4 linked regions of the Callithrix jacchus genome follow. The protein of the gene in region 4 interacts with the protein of the main gene of each other region in a biochemical or structural test. Links are inferred from orthologs where the notes say so. Each region holds a gene or a part of one and is shown on either strand. Other genes may lie near its edges.

Region 1 (3,564 bases), on a different chromosome or scaffold from region 4:
ACCTGCCTGACCAACATAGTGAAACCCCATCTCTACTAAAAATAAAAAATTAGCTGGGCATGGTGGTGGGCGCTTGTAGTCCCAGATACTCAGAGGCTGAGGCAGGAGACTTGCTTGAACCCAGGAGGCAGAGGTTGCAGTGAGCCAGGATCGTGCCATTGCACTCCAGCATGGGCAACAACAGCGAAACTCTGTCTCAAAAAAAAAAAAAAAAAAAAAAAATTATTTTCCTCTAAATATTTTTACCACTGCTTCCTCCCACTGCACAGTTTCACTGTTTTATGGATCTCTCTCTCCACCTGCATGCCCAATATAATAGTAAGTATTCAAGAGAGATTCACCTACTAGATTCCTACTGTAGAGGAAGCCAAGATGTGGGTGCATCTTTAAAATAAGAATTTTAACTACCTTCATTCTTTATGTTCTGTAAATTTTTACAATTTTCAGATGCAATAATCAACAAAAGGGACATCTTAGTAAACTATAATCACTTTTTAAAAAATGCAGTGGACTTATTCCTAATTCCAAACCTATGCTATATAACTCACTCAACATATTTGAAGGTTAGAATCTACAAAGAATTTGTTGAATTCCAAGATATGTGATGACTGTGTCGACTCACATTTGCTGAATATCAGTTTGATCCCTTAGGTCACTAACGATCATGCCTCACTAATGATCAGTGTAGCCAAAGTGCATAAATAGATCATGGGCCTGATTTGTTTTCATATATTCATCCTTAGCCTGGAGAAAGTCCTCAAAACAAAACATTCAAGTTTAGAAGTACTGAGGTTATTTAAAGACATGCCTCTTTTTAGGATCAATACAAAGAACAATACCTCTGTAAGTTCAAGGAGATCATCTGTTCTTCTGTCCCTCTCTTTGCCTGAGCAATTCTTTTCCTTTGTCTCAATTATTGACACTTTCCTCCTGAGTAAGCCATTGCTTCCACTGCCCAGGCGGAGTCGGGCTGACACTTCTTCTGATAGGTCAGGCTCCAGCTGGTATCCCCTCCTCTGATCAAAAAAGCATCTACATTCTACTGACATGTTTGATACTTGCTAATATAAACATAGATAACACATGAAATATAAAACTGTCAGTAATATGAAAGAAAAGAGAATTAGCAAATCCCCCAAATGAGTAGATTTATCATATCTGCCTGTCCCTGCAAGGGGAAACAAAAAAACTCCAGACCTAAGATTCACAGGATACCTCAGTTACAAACCATGAAACAGAACACTCGCCACATTCCCTGGAAGGAGCAAAAAAAGTATTTTCAGTTCTCCTATCACAATTAAAAATAGTATGTTTAAAAGATTATTATGAAAGTTTTAAATAGCAAAAAATATGACCCACAATCCCACCACTCAGAACAAATACCTATCTTTATGCTAACTAAACTTGGTTCTAGCTTATCCTTGTAAAAAGTCATTTTATATTATAGAAAATGCACAAAACATTAATGTACCACTTAATTCATTTTTGTAAAATGAACACCTATATAACCACCATTGTGGTTATATAAACAAATAGAATTCTGCCAGCACCCTAAAGCATTATCAGAGATGTATGATTTTTAAGAAATTCTCCATAAAAAGCCATAAAATGTAGGTAAAGTGTTGGTATGGAGATAGGTTCATCTTTCATAAACAAAGGTGGCTACTGTACAGAGGCAAAACTCCAACAACTCAGAAAGAAGAAAAAGGTTGTATATTTTCAATACTTGCCTTTTTTTTTTTAAAGAGACAGAGTCTCGTTCTGTCACTCAAGCTGGAGTGCAGTGGTGTGATCACAGCTCACTGCAGCCTTGACCTCCTGGGCTCAAGCAATCCTCCTGTCTTAGCTTCCCAGGTAGCTGAGACTACAGATGTGTCACCATGCCTGGCTAATTTTTAAATTTTTTGTGGAGACAGTCTCACTATGTTGCCCAGGCTGGTCTCAAACTCCTGGGCTCAAGATCCTCCTGCCTTGGCCTCCCAAAGTTCTGGGATTACAGGCATGAGCCACTGTGCCTGGCTGGCTTGCTGCTTTCTTAAAGAAAACAACAGAAGTAACAATCTAAGTAATATATATATAATTTTTCTTCTTTTTCATTGGTACCAAAACATAAGTTATGTAAGTAAATGGGTATCAAAATTTTTTTTTTTCTTGAGACGGAGTTTCACTCTTGTTGCCCAGGCTGGAGTGCAATGGCAGATTCTCGGCTCACTGCAACCTCCACCTCCTGGGTTCAAGCGATTCTCCTGCCTCAGCCTCCCGAGTAGCTGGAATTACAGGCATGTGCCACAGGCATGCCTGGATAATTTTTTTATTTTTAGTAGAGACAGGGTTTCTACATGTTGGTCAGGCTGGTCTCAAACTCCCGACCTCAGATAATGTCCCGCTTTGGACTCCCAAAGTGTTGGGATTACAGGAGTGAGCCATGCACCTGGCCTATGGATATTAGATTTAACTAGGATTTTTACTTACACTTTCATTTTCAAATCTGAGTCCAACCATCTTTTCTGTATCAGAAATTTTCCCCTTTGTACACCTAAGGAAAATAATTGAGAGATGATAGATTTCTGCTAGATGACTCAAACCTAGCACATCCTAGTTTTAGAAATAAGATTTCATAATCTGCAAATAAAAATTGCCTTTTTATATAATATTCTAAATCAAGAGCCAACAAACTTTTCTGAAAAAGCACAGACAGTATTTTAGGCTTTGCAGGTTTTATGGTCTTGGGCATATCGTGGCAACTCTACCACTGTAATTTAAAAGCAGCCATAGACAGTATGTAAATGAATGTGCACACTTCAACAGAAACGTACTATACAAAAATAGGCAAGCAGACCAGATTTGGCCTATAGGCCATAATTTACAAACTCTGCCATAAACCATCATCCAAAAATCCTAAGGTATGCTGAACTGCCTTTATTGTTCTTATCCTAAAGACACAGACCTCTAGATATCTCCACTAGACCCACACTCCTATCTAAGAATCATGCGATTCTCCCAACCCTGATGCCTGGGAGATAAAGGGCACCCCCCAACCCACCAAGGTAGCGTGGACATCTGACCCAAGAGCTAGCTACCTATCTACTCATATATGCTGACCAACTACCAGAAATGAAAAGAGTTCACAATTCCAAAGAACCACTTACTCACAAATACAGCTGATAAAGAAAATATATATTAAAGTGTAGAATGAACTGAATGTACCTCTTTTCACTTCTCAATGAACACAGAGGTCCCCTTGTTTCAACAAGTCTATCTGTGAGGATGGTAAAGAAAAGATTAAATATTTCCTTCATTAGTGAATAATATAGTTAGAATTTCAGCTTACTGAGTTTCCACAATATCAAGGCAATTCTTCAACAATGAAATGCTACAGTGAATTCCAAAGATACTAGACTCCCTATAAACTAAGTTGCCTAAAAAAATGCCTATATCTCTTTGCTCTTTTTTTTTTTTTTGGAGATGGAGTTTCGCTGTTGTTACCCAGGCTGGAGTGCAATGGCACAATCTCGGCTCACCACAACCTCTGCCTTCTGGGTTCAAGCAATTCTGCCTCAGCCT
Region 2 (3,564 bases), on a different chromosome or scaffold from region 4:
CTGGGATTACAGGCACACACCACCATAGCCAGCTAATTTCCCCGACAACTACCATATTTTTATATGGGATCAAGAACTTGGGGTGAATACAGTTGACTTATAAACAAGCTTTTGAAATGTTGTTTAAAGGGGATTATAAGTTGGAGACAACCTTTAATGATTCATGCTTTATGTCAGCTATACCTAAAGTCATGAACAAAGTAAACCTTCAGGAAGGGAGCTGAGCACAAAATGTTTTTTTTTTTCCTTTAGTTTTTGAGACAGAGTCACGCTCCTGTCACCGAGGCTGGAGTGCAATGGTGTGATCTTGGCTAACTGCAACCTCCCAGGTTCGAGTGATTCTCATACCTCAGCCTCCCACATAGCTGGGACTACAGGTGCCCACCAATGTGCCTGGCTAATTTTTATACTTTCAGTAGAGATGAGGTTTCACCATGTTGGCCAGGCTGGTCACAAACTCCTGACACCTCAGGTGATCTGCCCACCTCGGCCTCCTAAGTTCTGGGATTACAGGTGTGAGTCACCTGTACCCAAGAAAATTGGGGTATTTTCTTCATAGCTATTCAGACAACCTGTTAAATTGTTAACATGGTTCTTTACCATTTCAAACCATTTTTCCCTCTGTAATTTTAGCTCATTTCCTAAAGGACCGTTCTAAATTTTAGCTGTCTGGAGACCATAATGAACATAACTGTTGGCTCAAAGGACTTGAAGATTTGGTTATTAGATATTGTGTTTCCAAACTCAAACCATGTCTGCAGTCATACCAGTTTCTGAGTTCTTATTTCTGGCAAGACAGTGTCTATATTCTCTGTATTATTCTCTGTCCTTTCCCCTCAGTTGAGCCTTTAAGATTTTCGCTGTGTTCTTTACAGACCCGATGGACACCAGAACAACCTGAGGAGTTCTGCATATGAATCTCTGATGGAAATTGTGAAAAACAGTGCCAAGGATTGTTACCCTGCTGTCCAGAAAACGACTTTGGTCATCATGGAGCGACTGCAGCAGGTGCTTCAGATGGAGGTGAGACCTAAGAAGGCCCCTGACTATGGGTGGGAATAGGGCAGTACTTTGGACACCTAGGTCTATTTTCCAGACTGTTCTGTCTTTTTGGTGTTTATATATTTTCTCAGAAGGATATGAAGTTTATTTAAAAAAAATTACACCTTAACGTTAGCATTGCTTGTCATGGTTTACTCAGACATGTGTTATATATATTGTGGGTTTGTTGTTGTTGTTTACTTTCCTGTGTTGGCATTAGGGAAGATTATTGAATGGTTACGTAGAGTATGTTTTCTTCTTTTCCTTGTAGTCACATATCCAGAGCACATCCGATAGAATCCAGTTCAATGACCTTCAGTCTTTACTCTGCGCAACTCTTCAGGTATTATGGTGCTATATCATTTCTTAGTAACTCCAGGAAAGATAATTAATATCTCAGTATGACAAGTTCATGTATACACAGAACTCAAAAATGGTATCGATGATGCTGATCAGAAGCTGTTCTCAGAAGACTTTGGTCTGTGATTGATGAATTGGGAGAGGAATTTCCCACCGGCCTTTCCTCACTGTCTAGAAAGATTCAAATCCTACTTTATTTATAGATGGTCTAGATATAATCTTGATAAACTCAAATCAACTTGACTTCTCCCAACTCAGTGTACACTCATCAAACCTCCCTTCCTCACTCTTGTTTGTTTCAACTAATGTCTCAGTGTAGAGAAGTAAACTACTTGATGTTTGATGGTTCCTCCCAGCTGTATAGCTGGTTTGTGTTGACAGCTTGAATGGTTTTGGTTTTTTGATTTTGAAAACCAAAAGAACTCTTGGTTTTTAATTAAGTTATTCGAGCCTAGCTCAGTCATATTTGGTTCCCAGCTATAGTTCACTTGACTAAAAATAAAGCCTTGAGTTTGTACCATCATCTTTTGAAACATTTGCTGTTTGACCTATTGTCAGTGACATTAATTGAAACAAGAAGAAGGAATGTTTGATGAATGTATATTGAATTGAGAGAAGTCAAGTTGGTTTGATTTTTATCAAGATTATTTCTAGACCATCTGTAAATGGGTAGGATATAGGAAGGGTTGCTTTTTGTTTGTTTTATTAAAAAGAGCTCTAAGGTAACAGGGCTTTTTTAAAGCTCAAGTAATTTAACTATCTAGTAAGACTAGACTATGGAGGCTACCAGCATGGATTTGTCAGACACTAAGGCAAATAAAATGCAGACATGACCTTCTGCACAATGGAGGATCAGCTCACATTGGTTCTGAATTGAGAAATTCAGAAACTGGGGAATGTTAAAATGTATTGCTGGCTGGGCACAGTGGCTCACCCCTGTAATCCTAGCATTTTGGGAGGCCAAGGTGGGTAGATATCTGAGGTCAAGAGTTTGAGATCAGCCTGGCCAACATGGTAAAACCCTGTCTCTACTAAAAATACAAAAATTAGCTTGACACAGTGTGTTGTGTGCCTGTAATCCGAGCTACTGGGAGACTGAGGCACAAGAATTGCTTGAACCCGGGAGGCGGAGGTTGCAGTGAGCCAAGATAACACCACTATACTCCAGCCTGGGCAACAGAGTGAGACTCTGTCTTAAAAACAAAAAAGTAGGGAGAGGGCTGGGTGCAGTGGCTCATACCTGTAATCCCAGCACTTTGGGAGGCTGAGGTGGGCGGATCAGCTCAGATTGGGAGTTCGAGACCAGCCTGACCAACATGGGGAAACTTTGTCTCTATTAAAATACAAAAAATCAGCCAGGTGTGGTGGTGTGCGCCTGTGATCCCAGCTACTTGGGAGGCTGAGGCAGGAGAATTGCTTGAACCCGGGAGGCTGAGGTTGCGGTGAGTCGAGATTGCGCCATTGCACTCCAGCCTGGGCGACGAGTTAAACTGCATCTCAAAAAAAAAAAAAAAAAAAAAAAGTATTGTTAATGATTGGTATTATCAGAGTTTTTTAGTATAAAAAGTACATTTGGCATTCACAAAAGAAAGTCAAAGGACTTAATTGATTTTTAAAAAGAAGGTATACTGTTCTGATTGGGAGATTGGGAATCAACTGATCTTGAACTCTTACTCATTTCACAGAATGTTCTTCGGAAAGTGCAACATCAAGATGCATTGCAGATCTCTGATGTGGTCATGGCCTCCCTGTTAAGGATGTTCCAAAGCACAGCTGGCTCTGGGGGAGTACAAGAGGATGCCCTGATGGCAGTTAGCACACTGGTGGAAGGTCAGTGAAAAATACTGTCTGGTCAGGGAATGTCTTTAGAATGCAGGCATTTCAGTGGCCTTAAATAATTGTCACCCAGGCTGGAGTGCCGTATCATGATCTTGGCACACTGCAGCTTCCACATCCTGGGATCAAGTGATTCTTCCACCTGAGCCCCCACCCCCACCCCCGACACACCAGTAGCTAAGACTACAGATGCACACCACCATGCCTGGCTAATTTTTTATATTTTTGGTAGAGACGGGGTTTCGCCGTGTTGCCCATGCTGGTCTCAAACTCCTGAGTCAAGTGATGCTTCTGCCTCAGCCTCCCAAAGTGCTAGAATTATAGATG
Region 3 (4,304 bases), on a different chromosome or scaffold from region 4:
GAAGGCTGAAACAGAAGAATCACTTGATGGTCAGGCACGGTGGTTCACGCCTATAATCCCAGCACTCTGGGAAGCCGAGGCGGGTGGATCACAAGGTCAGGAGATCGAGATCGTCCTGGTCAATGAGTTGAAATCCCGTCTCTAGTAAAAATACAAAAATTAGCTGGGCATGGTGGTGAGCGCCTGTCGTCTCAGCTACTCGGGAGGCTGAGGCAGGAGAATTGCTTGAACCCAGGAGACGGAGGTTGCAGTGAGCTGAGATCGTGCCATTGCACTCCAGTCTGGGTAACAACAGTGAAACTCCATCCAAAAAAAAAGAAGAATCACTTGAACCAGGCAGGCGGAAGCTACAGTGAGCTGAGATCACACCACTGCACTTCAGCCTGGGTGATAGAGCAGACTCCATCTCAAAAAAAAATAGTAATTTTTGTGGAATAAAACTAAACATCTCCAGGCTGACTGCAGCCTCCCATCGCTACCGCACTATCTACTTTCTCCAAGAACTCACTGTAATTTTGAACCAGTTCTTTGAGGTCCCATCCTGGCTGGTGCCAGCTCCTCCTCTCTCTGAAGGAGCTCTGTCTCTCCGCACGGTAACATGAATGCGATCTCGATCATGCCACGTATCGCCCCGACGGTTAGGCCGGGTGGTATAGGGGTTGCTGTGGGCAAGCAGAGAATAAAATGACCATAAATGCTAGGAAAGTCTTCTCAGAGACCTACCTGCACTGTTAGTGGGACTACAACTAAGATTGTTCAATCATTAAGCCACTCCTGGCATTTCTCACTCTTTCAGGTTGGAAAGGAAATAACATGGACAGTAAAAGGGCCATATAATCTCATGGGCCACTAAATTCAAACCAGACCAACTGGTCACTTACTATCGTACTCGGGGACCATCTTGGGCATCACTCATTGCCACATCTCCATCATCTTCCTCAAGGCGGGAAGACCGAATACTAGAACCACCTCTTCCAGACCTACGGTTTCCTTCACCATATTTCCACCGGAAGGGACCCCGGCCTTTCTTCCTTCTTTGAGGGAAATTAACACGTTCATCATCGTGCTCTGAAGTTAGAAACAGGAACACAAATTAGGAGTAAGTAACTGGTCCTGCTTGGCGTAGCAATCAGTTTCTAGTACTCTGCACTATGGGAAGAAATACATACTAACTACAGAGGCCATGTCCATGCAAACTCCACTGGCAGTCCAGCGGTAAGAACCCTCTCTGTGGGAGGGAAGCATCAGGGAAGTTATTGGAAAATTGTGTAGGGCTTTTGAAAAATGAAGCAGAGGCCGGGCACGGTGGCTTATGCGTATAATCCCAGTACTTTGGGAGGCCGAGGCGGGTGGATCACGAGGTCAAGAGATCGAGACTATCCTGGTCAACAAGGTGAAACCCCGTCTCTACTAAAAACACAAAAATTAGCTGGGCATGGTGGTACGCGCCTGTAGTCCCAGCCACATGGGAGGCTGAGGCAGGAGAATTGCTTGAACCCAGGAGGCGGAGGTTGCGGTGAGCCGAGATCATGCCATTGCACTCCAGTCTGGGTAACAAGAGCGAAACTCCATCTCAAAAAAAAAAAAAAACAAGAAAAAAGAAAAATGAAGCAGAAACTGGAATTAGAGAGAAGCAGAAGGTAGAAATGTGACAACCAAAAGTGTAACTGAACACAAATCAGACCTCTGATAGCCACGTGAAATCTGCCACTCAGTACTTTTTCTCCACAGTACAGATGCCAGTTACAAATATGACCAATTTAAGGATCCTCTAAAAAATTCTTCTTGTTCTCAAATTGCCACTTGGAAGTTTTGTGAGGAGCTCTTCATTTCCTTGGCCAGAAATGGCCTTTAACTCAGAAGACAGACAACTTCTAGACTCAGGATCTACTGGCAGTGCCAGGCTCAGGTGCTTAACCAGGGATCCTGGAATGCTCTCCAGGAATATGACCTTCTGACACATGCTGTGTAGGACTGGCATCTTTAAAAGGTCTCTAACTCCCAAAAGAAGTCTGCCTAATACAGATACTGTAAACAATGAATCTCAACAAATGACCCCAAGAAAAAAAGTACACAGAAGGCGCACCTAACATTCACTGAGAACTTTCTCCAGTGCCGGCCACTATGCTTCAGGCACTTGATAGAAATGATCTCATTCCCCGCACCCCTGCCCGCCTCCTCCACTCTTAAAAAACAGATACTGTTGTTATTCCGCATTAAGGAGGTGGAAAACGAGTTTTAAATTCACGGTTTCAACCTCCGCCATGCACTCCTAACTACTACAAAGGACTAACATCCAGTGTAGTGTTCAGACTAGAACATCCAGTTGAGGTGTCTCAAATATTAAGCCAAACCCAGGCCCGAGGTTTCAAGACCGACTGGACGCAGTAAAAAATAGGGCACCAGGGCAGCCCACGAGCAGGGCACTAACTCACATTAAAGGAAGAGTCAGGCCGCCAAACCGAACTGACAGGCATCAACCACCCACAAAGTTCAAAGGAATCCGGTCACCCCACCCCCAAGCCACCCGCTCCGAGCCGCAGGTCCTCCAACACCAGGATTCCAACAGGAATCCAGGAGTTCAACAACTCGGTGTCCACCTCAAGTGCTCCCGGTTCCTCCGCGCGCCGCTCCCCACGGACGCCGAGCCCCTGCGGCCTCACGTCCCGGGGGCTGAGGCCTAGGCCGGCGCCTCCCACCCGGGGGTCCCAGATAGCCGGCTCTCGACTCAAGGACCAGCACTGACCGCTGTACGACTTCCCCTCGTCCGCCATACCACAGCGAAGAGCAAGGGCGGGCTCAGGCGCGGGCCGCTACGCCACCAAACGTCCGAACCCCCAAGCGCTCAGGACCAAAGTGTCCCTACGACGGGCGCCACCGCATTTATTCGGAATAGCACGTCGCGCGCCGCTGACGTTCTAGGCTGTGGGCGGTGCCACTGCTGTAGAAAGCGCGGCCACTGCGCGTGCGCACACTGAAGCCCGTCGTGTGAGGGGCGGGGCCCGACCCTCCACGCCCCGCCCAAGGCCTGAGCTTGCGGAATTCCGGCTGGCTGCCAGCAGCTCCTGGCACCTTTTCATTTGTCCGCTGACGCTGCCCTGGGCACCTCCAGAGTTAGTGCTGGAACAGAGTGCTGCAACTGCAGCCCAGAGTTCAGAGCGGGGAAGGGGACCGCACGAAGGGCTTCCGAGGTGGAAGTGATGCGCCTCCAGGTGGAAGTGATGGCTTAGACCCCCACCGGAATCCAGCCAGTTTCAGCTCGGCTCCTTGTCTATGCCTCGCTTTCTTTGCCTATAAGATGGATTAATAATCACGAAGTTGAGAATTAGAATGTAAGCTTCATGGGAGCAGGAACCTTGACTAATTAATAGCTTTCTTCCTCGAGGGCTTGATTCGGTACCATGCCTGGCACATAGTAGAAATTCAACATGTATTTGTGAAATAAATGAATTTCTGTTCTTTGCATTCCCCACCCGCCCCGCCGCGAGTTGCTGAGTCAAATGAGACGGCATCTATCAGGGCTTTGCCGAGCATTGACATTATAGACCTTCCATCAATGACGTTCCCTACTAGAAACCCATCGTGTCAATAAGGCCGACAGTGAAGCTCACCAGCAGTGGCAGACAACTTGCTGGAGATGCCAAGGAGAACATTTTAAAGTATCAGGGCCTTGGGATCTCCTAGACCCCCAGAAGCACCAGCCCCTGATTGTTGTCTCTATAGCTTGAACTTCCTTTGGAATATGTGAGGCAGGGGCACTCGAGTAGCCTCAGAATGTGGTTAAGTCTTGGTCAGGAAGAACAAAGCACACCTGGATGGTGGGTATTCTGGGCAGGTGTCTTCTCCAGTCTCTGTGATTGGCTTTGATTTGGTGAGGGGCTTGGAGGGAACCAAAAGCCTCAGCTGGAGTTGGGAACAAATCCTCCACCTTCCACTCCTGGCAGCAGGCAGAGCTTCTACCTTGCTTAGCTTAAGGAAGATATCAAACAGGTCCAAACACTGCTTGAGATGGTCCTGGAAGTTGCCACCAATCAAGGACCCCCTCTGGGATCCTGCTCCCCTGTGTGAAAGGAAGTTTCTATGCTAATGAAGTGTTGCAACACTTGGTTCTGCCCTGCCTGGAGGCAGCTGTGTGTCAGAGCCCAATATAGCCTGTCAGCAGTAATACCCTGCAGAGCCATTAGCCCAACCCTTTCAGTTCTGGTACTGGGCAGTGGGCTCATTCCACTCACTGCCTAGGCCCTTCGACGCTCCCACCCAGAAATGATGACATAGCTAGTAAGGATGACAGTCTTGCTGTAATT
Region 4 (4,151 bases):
AAAAAGAAAAGAAAAAATCAGAAGTTAAAGAGGGAAAGTGGTAAATTTACAGCTTTTCCCAGGAGAGCTAAACCCAGAAGTCAAAACAGGAAATTGCAAGTCAAATGAACATATGCAGAAGTCACAGGTACTGGGTGAAGACTGCACTAGCAAGTTGGCCTGACAAGCATTGGCAAACATCCATTAACTAACAGCGCCAGACCTCTCATTCTTACTTCAACTTTCTGTTATACTACCAAAAGCTTCATTTTTGCCCAGAAACCCTTGGACGCTTAATCAAATAACATTAGTATCAAACATGCAAGGAGCTTCATGATGACTCAGCAGCTGCTGCAAAACATCCAGTTGACAGTCTAGGATAGCTGACAGCAAGCAGGTCCACCAAAGTCCCAGTAAGGACTAACGACCCTAGGTCCACCGAAGTCCCAGTAAGGACTAAGGAAGTCCTTATTTTTTAAATGATAATAATAATAAAAAGGAGAGTATTCTTTTGAATACACCTGAATAATTTCCTTGGGTAGTGGTAGTTTCTGCCAATATTAAATAGCACCTACAGTGTTGACCAAGAAACCCCTAAATACCTTTAATTCCCAATTCAAAAGCTAAAATATGTTTTCTTTTTTAATAGCCAGAAGCAAGAGGCAAAAGTATTTCAGACAGGAGGCAATGATAAATTATCAGGATTTAAAACAAAACTAAACAGTCTGAAGTCATATCAACTCTAAGACAACGTGGATCATAGGTGTTATGCTGCCAAGGCATCGTCTCCCCAAAATTACACTTGTATTTTATCTAAGTGCATTTAAAAATAAGCCATGATTAACTTCAGCATCTGGCAAATATTAATTCCTTGCTAACGTCTACCCAGACCCAATGGCCTATATTTAAAACATGCCATTTTTCTGTATGTCATACAAGAAAATCTAAGCACTCAAAGACCTTCATAAGAGAAAAGAAAGCATGCACGTCTAACTTTCATTCTACAGAAGGATTAGGTTAAATGGCCAGGCTTGTGAACTGAATTATAATCTTAAATCTGCTTGCAAATACCCCCGTGCTTCAGAAATTTGAAAACCAAGCACTTTACATACGTATCTGGGGAAAAACTGGTGGGAGTAATAACAATGCCAAACCTTCTAACCATCAGTAGAGAACGACTTAAAATACCGGAACCACAATTTTTACTACTCAGACATTTCCCTCAAAATAGAAAAGGAAATTTTAAAAATCCCTCAAATCTTTACTTTTAAAAATCTGTTGATAATGACACAATTTAACAACATCGAACATGTGAAAGTGTGCAATCTTCATTAGCATCCAGAATAAAGTAATCTAGGAAGTCTACCTTTAACAGCAGGCAACAAGTTATCAGATCCTTTTGCTACATTTTTGTTAAGACACACTTCCCACCTTGTATCATTGGTAAGTTTTTTAAGTGGCTTTATTAAAGTAGGTGTTGTAACATTTCCTTAATCCTTCTAATAAGCAGTATTTTAAAAATGGAATTTTCTCGGAATCAACGATCCCATTTACAATTAGGATCATCTTTTTTTATATTTTAAACATCCAAGAGTCCATACAGTGGCTAAACTATAAGATCATCAACATTCCTGGAGTGTCGAAAGTAACTAAACTTCTAAAATACGCCCCATAATATTAACATATTTTGTGTATGAGATCAGAGCGGGAGTCCCGGTCAACTGTGGAGAATGGCCAATTCCAGCCTCCAAAATAAGGGGGGGGGGGAGTCGCGCAGCAGAGAAAAGACGTAAGGGTGGAGAGGGACTTTCAAAATGCCCCAGTGCCACGGTTAACTATAACCCGGTTACGAAAATATAAGCCAATGTTCTCAAAACGAGGGACACGGGCAGGGGAAACCGAGAATTAATTCATAGGCTGAGATTAAGTTATTCCACTTTCCATATAACAGCGCCCCCAACAACTCCCTGTCTGCCCCAGAGTTAAGATTCTTCGGGGTTACCCTCCTCCCCACACTGAAGGAGAGACTAGAAAACAGTAAGCATAAGGGCCGTCAATCACATCTTTTCCTTTCTCTCTCGAAAGGACGTAATACCCTCAAACTCCCAATCCCCGCCAAAAAAGAAAGAAACGCGCGCACCGGCACCCTAGGCCTACAATTTCTTTTCCCGCCCAGAGCCTGCCTGGGAAAGCCCCTGGCCCAGAGGGTTGGGGAAAAGGCGGCCCGAACCACACGTGTGCGCCGCAAAGCTGGGCCTGTTTCAGCCCACTTCCCGTCACCACCCCCAATGGCTTGAGCTCCCCCGGAGCCTCACTCGGGCCTTTCCTCAGGCCCTCCTGTCTGCTCCACGTGGGGCGCCGGGGCCTCGAACCGCCTGTCCCCTCCAGCCGAGTTCCCGACCCGCCAGACCACCACGTCGTCAGGTCCCATACCTGGTGCTGTTGTCGCCCCTGCTGGTAAGGCTTAATTGGCCCCTGATGGCAACGCCGCATCCGGATCTTGCCGCCACCGCCCCCTCCGACTCCTCCGGCTCCTGAGGCCATGGCGGAGCCTCCGCCGCTTCCCGCTCCGGGGCGGGTAAGGGGGCGGGAGAGGCAGAGGCGGAGGCCTTAGAGCGCCCCCCCGCCCGGCCCCGGCCCAAAGTCCGCCCGCGCTGTCCACACAGTGGGCACAGGCACCCCAGGAACCGCGAGGTTGAGAGCAGGAGCGGAGAGAGGGTGAGTGCTGGCAGCCGGGAAGGGGGTGGCGGCCGCAGAGGCCAAGGAGCTGGCTCCGGTCCGGCCGCCTCTGCGGACCCCCGCCTCTCTGTATGTCACGGTCTCTATGGAGATCTCCCGCAGAGGACAGCGCGAACAGCTCCCGGCGCTGCTGAGGCCTAACTCGACCGCCGGCTGGTGGGGTTCTTCCGTCGCCCTAGCCGTAGCTGCCGCAGTTGAAGCCGCTGGCGCCGCCCGCCTACCCCTCCCCTGTGCGCTCAGCGCCCGCCCCGCCGTCGTCGTCGTCTCTGCAGCCGCCGCCGCCGTTGCGCCTATTACCGCCGCTAAAGCGGCTGCTGCGGTCGCGAACCAGAATGTCGTCACTCATCAGCGCCCGACGCATTTGCATCATCACGCTGCGACGAGCTGATAGGCAAAGAGGAAGGACTGGTCGAGCCTACGCTCTCGGCCGCGCGGCACGCTGGGAAACGTAGTTCAACGACGGAACGCGGCTTCTCGGAAAGGAAGAGGGACGAGGGAAAAGGTCTCCAGAGCGCCGCAGAGGCACAAAGCCAAGGGGTTCTTTTGCTGTTCTTGGCTGTAAATTAGACTCTGAAAAGGCACTTAACATAAAAACAGTAACCTCTTCCTACTCTCTTCCCTGTCGGTTGGTTAAGTGGGCAGGAAGTAAGCAAATAGTAAAATCAAAGACAAGAGCTAATGATTTAAGAAAGGGGGAAAAAAATCTATGGTTGAAAAACGATGTCCATGATCCTTAGAATCAGAAAATATATACGGCTTCATTAATGTTTTTTTAAACATAAAGGCTTTGTTGCCAGACACACGGGGCTGGAATTCTGGTTCCGCCACTCTATTTATTTGACCTTGGATGAATCAAAACTGTGTGAGCCTTAGCTTCCTCCTCCGTAAAATGGGAGCTTTAAAATCCACCTTATAAAGCTGTTGTGAGGAGCAGACGTGATTATCTATGGAGAGCACGTATATTTGCAAATAGACGAGAAATGCAATGAATGATTACAATTATAACCTATGCAGTCAGCTCACATTAGGAGTAAGTGATATATTCTTAGTAATAAAAGTATACCATATTTGCTCCAAATAGAAGGCATTATATTTAGGAAACCGAGTAAGTGGGCTAGACTTAAAGACTGAATCCACAAAATGTATATTCTAGGAGATGACGATTAGAAAGGTCCTGGTGATCACATAATCCAACCCTCTCATTCAACCAACAAGAGGTCCAGAAAAATTTAGGTGGCACAATCAATGACACTGAGATGGGTAATCAAAACCAAGACTATGACCCAACTTTTCTGTAAGAGTTAAAGACAAATAGCCAAATGATTAGGCAGGAAAAAATCTGTTGTGAAAAATTTTAGCCGTACTATAAATCTTTTTTTTTGAGAGAGAGAGAGAGACAGAGTCTTGCTCTGTAGCCCGGGTTGGAGTGCATT

The links.
Region 1: the proteins of NUP153 (region 4) and SENP2 form a complex in vitro, tested with the Homo sapiens proteins (2 studies listed by BioGRID). The link is inferred for Callithrix jacchus from reciprocal best matches to the Homo sapiens genes NUP153 and SENP2.
Region 2: the proteins of NUP153 (region 4) and KPNB1 form a complex in vitro, tested with the Homo sapiens proteins (4 studies listed by BioGRID and IntAct, with this or other methods). The link is inferred for Callithrix jacchus from reciprocal best matches to the Homo sapiens genes NUP153 and KPNB1.
Region 3: the proteins of NUP153 (region 4) and NXF1 form a complex in vitro, tested with the Homo sapiens proteins (2 studies listed by BioGRID and IntAct). The link is inferred for Callithrix jacchus from reciprocal best matches to the Homo sapiens genes NUP153 and NXF1.

Annotation. Positions count from the first base shown.
Region 1 is NC_133516.1:14,564,617-14,568,180, reverse strand, and holds part of SENP2 (sentrin-specific protease 2), read right to left. Parts: intron 3,260-3,564; coding exon 3,208-3,259; intron 2,537-3,207; coding exon 2,473-2,536; intron 1,062-2,472; coding exon 840-1,061; intron 1-839. UniProt on the Homo sapiens protein: Protease that catalyzes two essential functions in the SUMO pathway.
Region 2 is NC_133506.1:118,627,048-118,630,611, reverse strand, and holds part of KPNB1 (importin subunit beta-1), read left to right. Parts: intron 1-875; coding exon 876-1,023; intron 1,024-1,312; coding exon 1,313-1,384; intron 1,385-3,086; coding exon 3,087-3,231; intron 3,232-3,564.
Region 3 is NC_133511.1:120,085,522-120,089,825, forward strand, and holds the start of NXF1 (nuclear RNA export factor 1), read right to left. Parts: upstream 2,859-4,304; 5' UTR 2,775-2,858; coding exon of another isoform or gene 2,747-2,774; intron 1,548-2,746; 5' UTR 1,532-1,547; coding exon 1,450-1,531; intron 1,069-1,449; coding exon 882-1,068; intron 663-881; coding exon 509-662; intron 1-508.
Region 4 is NC_133505.1:13,063,887-13,068,037, reverse strand, and holds the start of NUP153 (nuclear pore complex protein Nup153), read right to left. Parts: upstream 2,804-4,151; 5' UTR 2,524-2,803; coding exon 2,413-2,523; exon of another isoform or gene 2,301-2,412; intron 1-2,300. Other genes in the region: uncharacterized protein LOC103792250, read left to right, coding at 2,804-3,106. UniProt on the Homo sapiens protein: Component of the nuclear pore complex (NPC), a complex required for the trafficking across the nuclear envelope. Functions as a scaffolding element in the nuclear phase of the NPC essential for normal nucleocytoplasmic transport of proteins and mRNAs.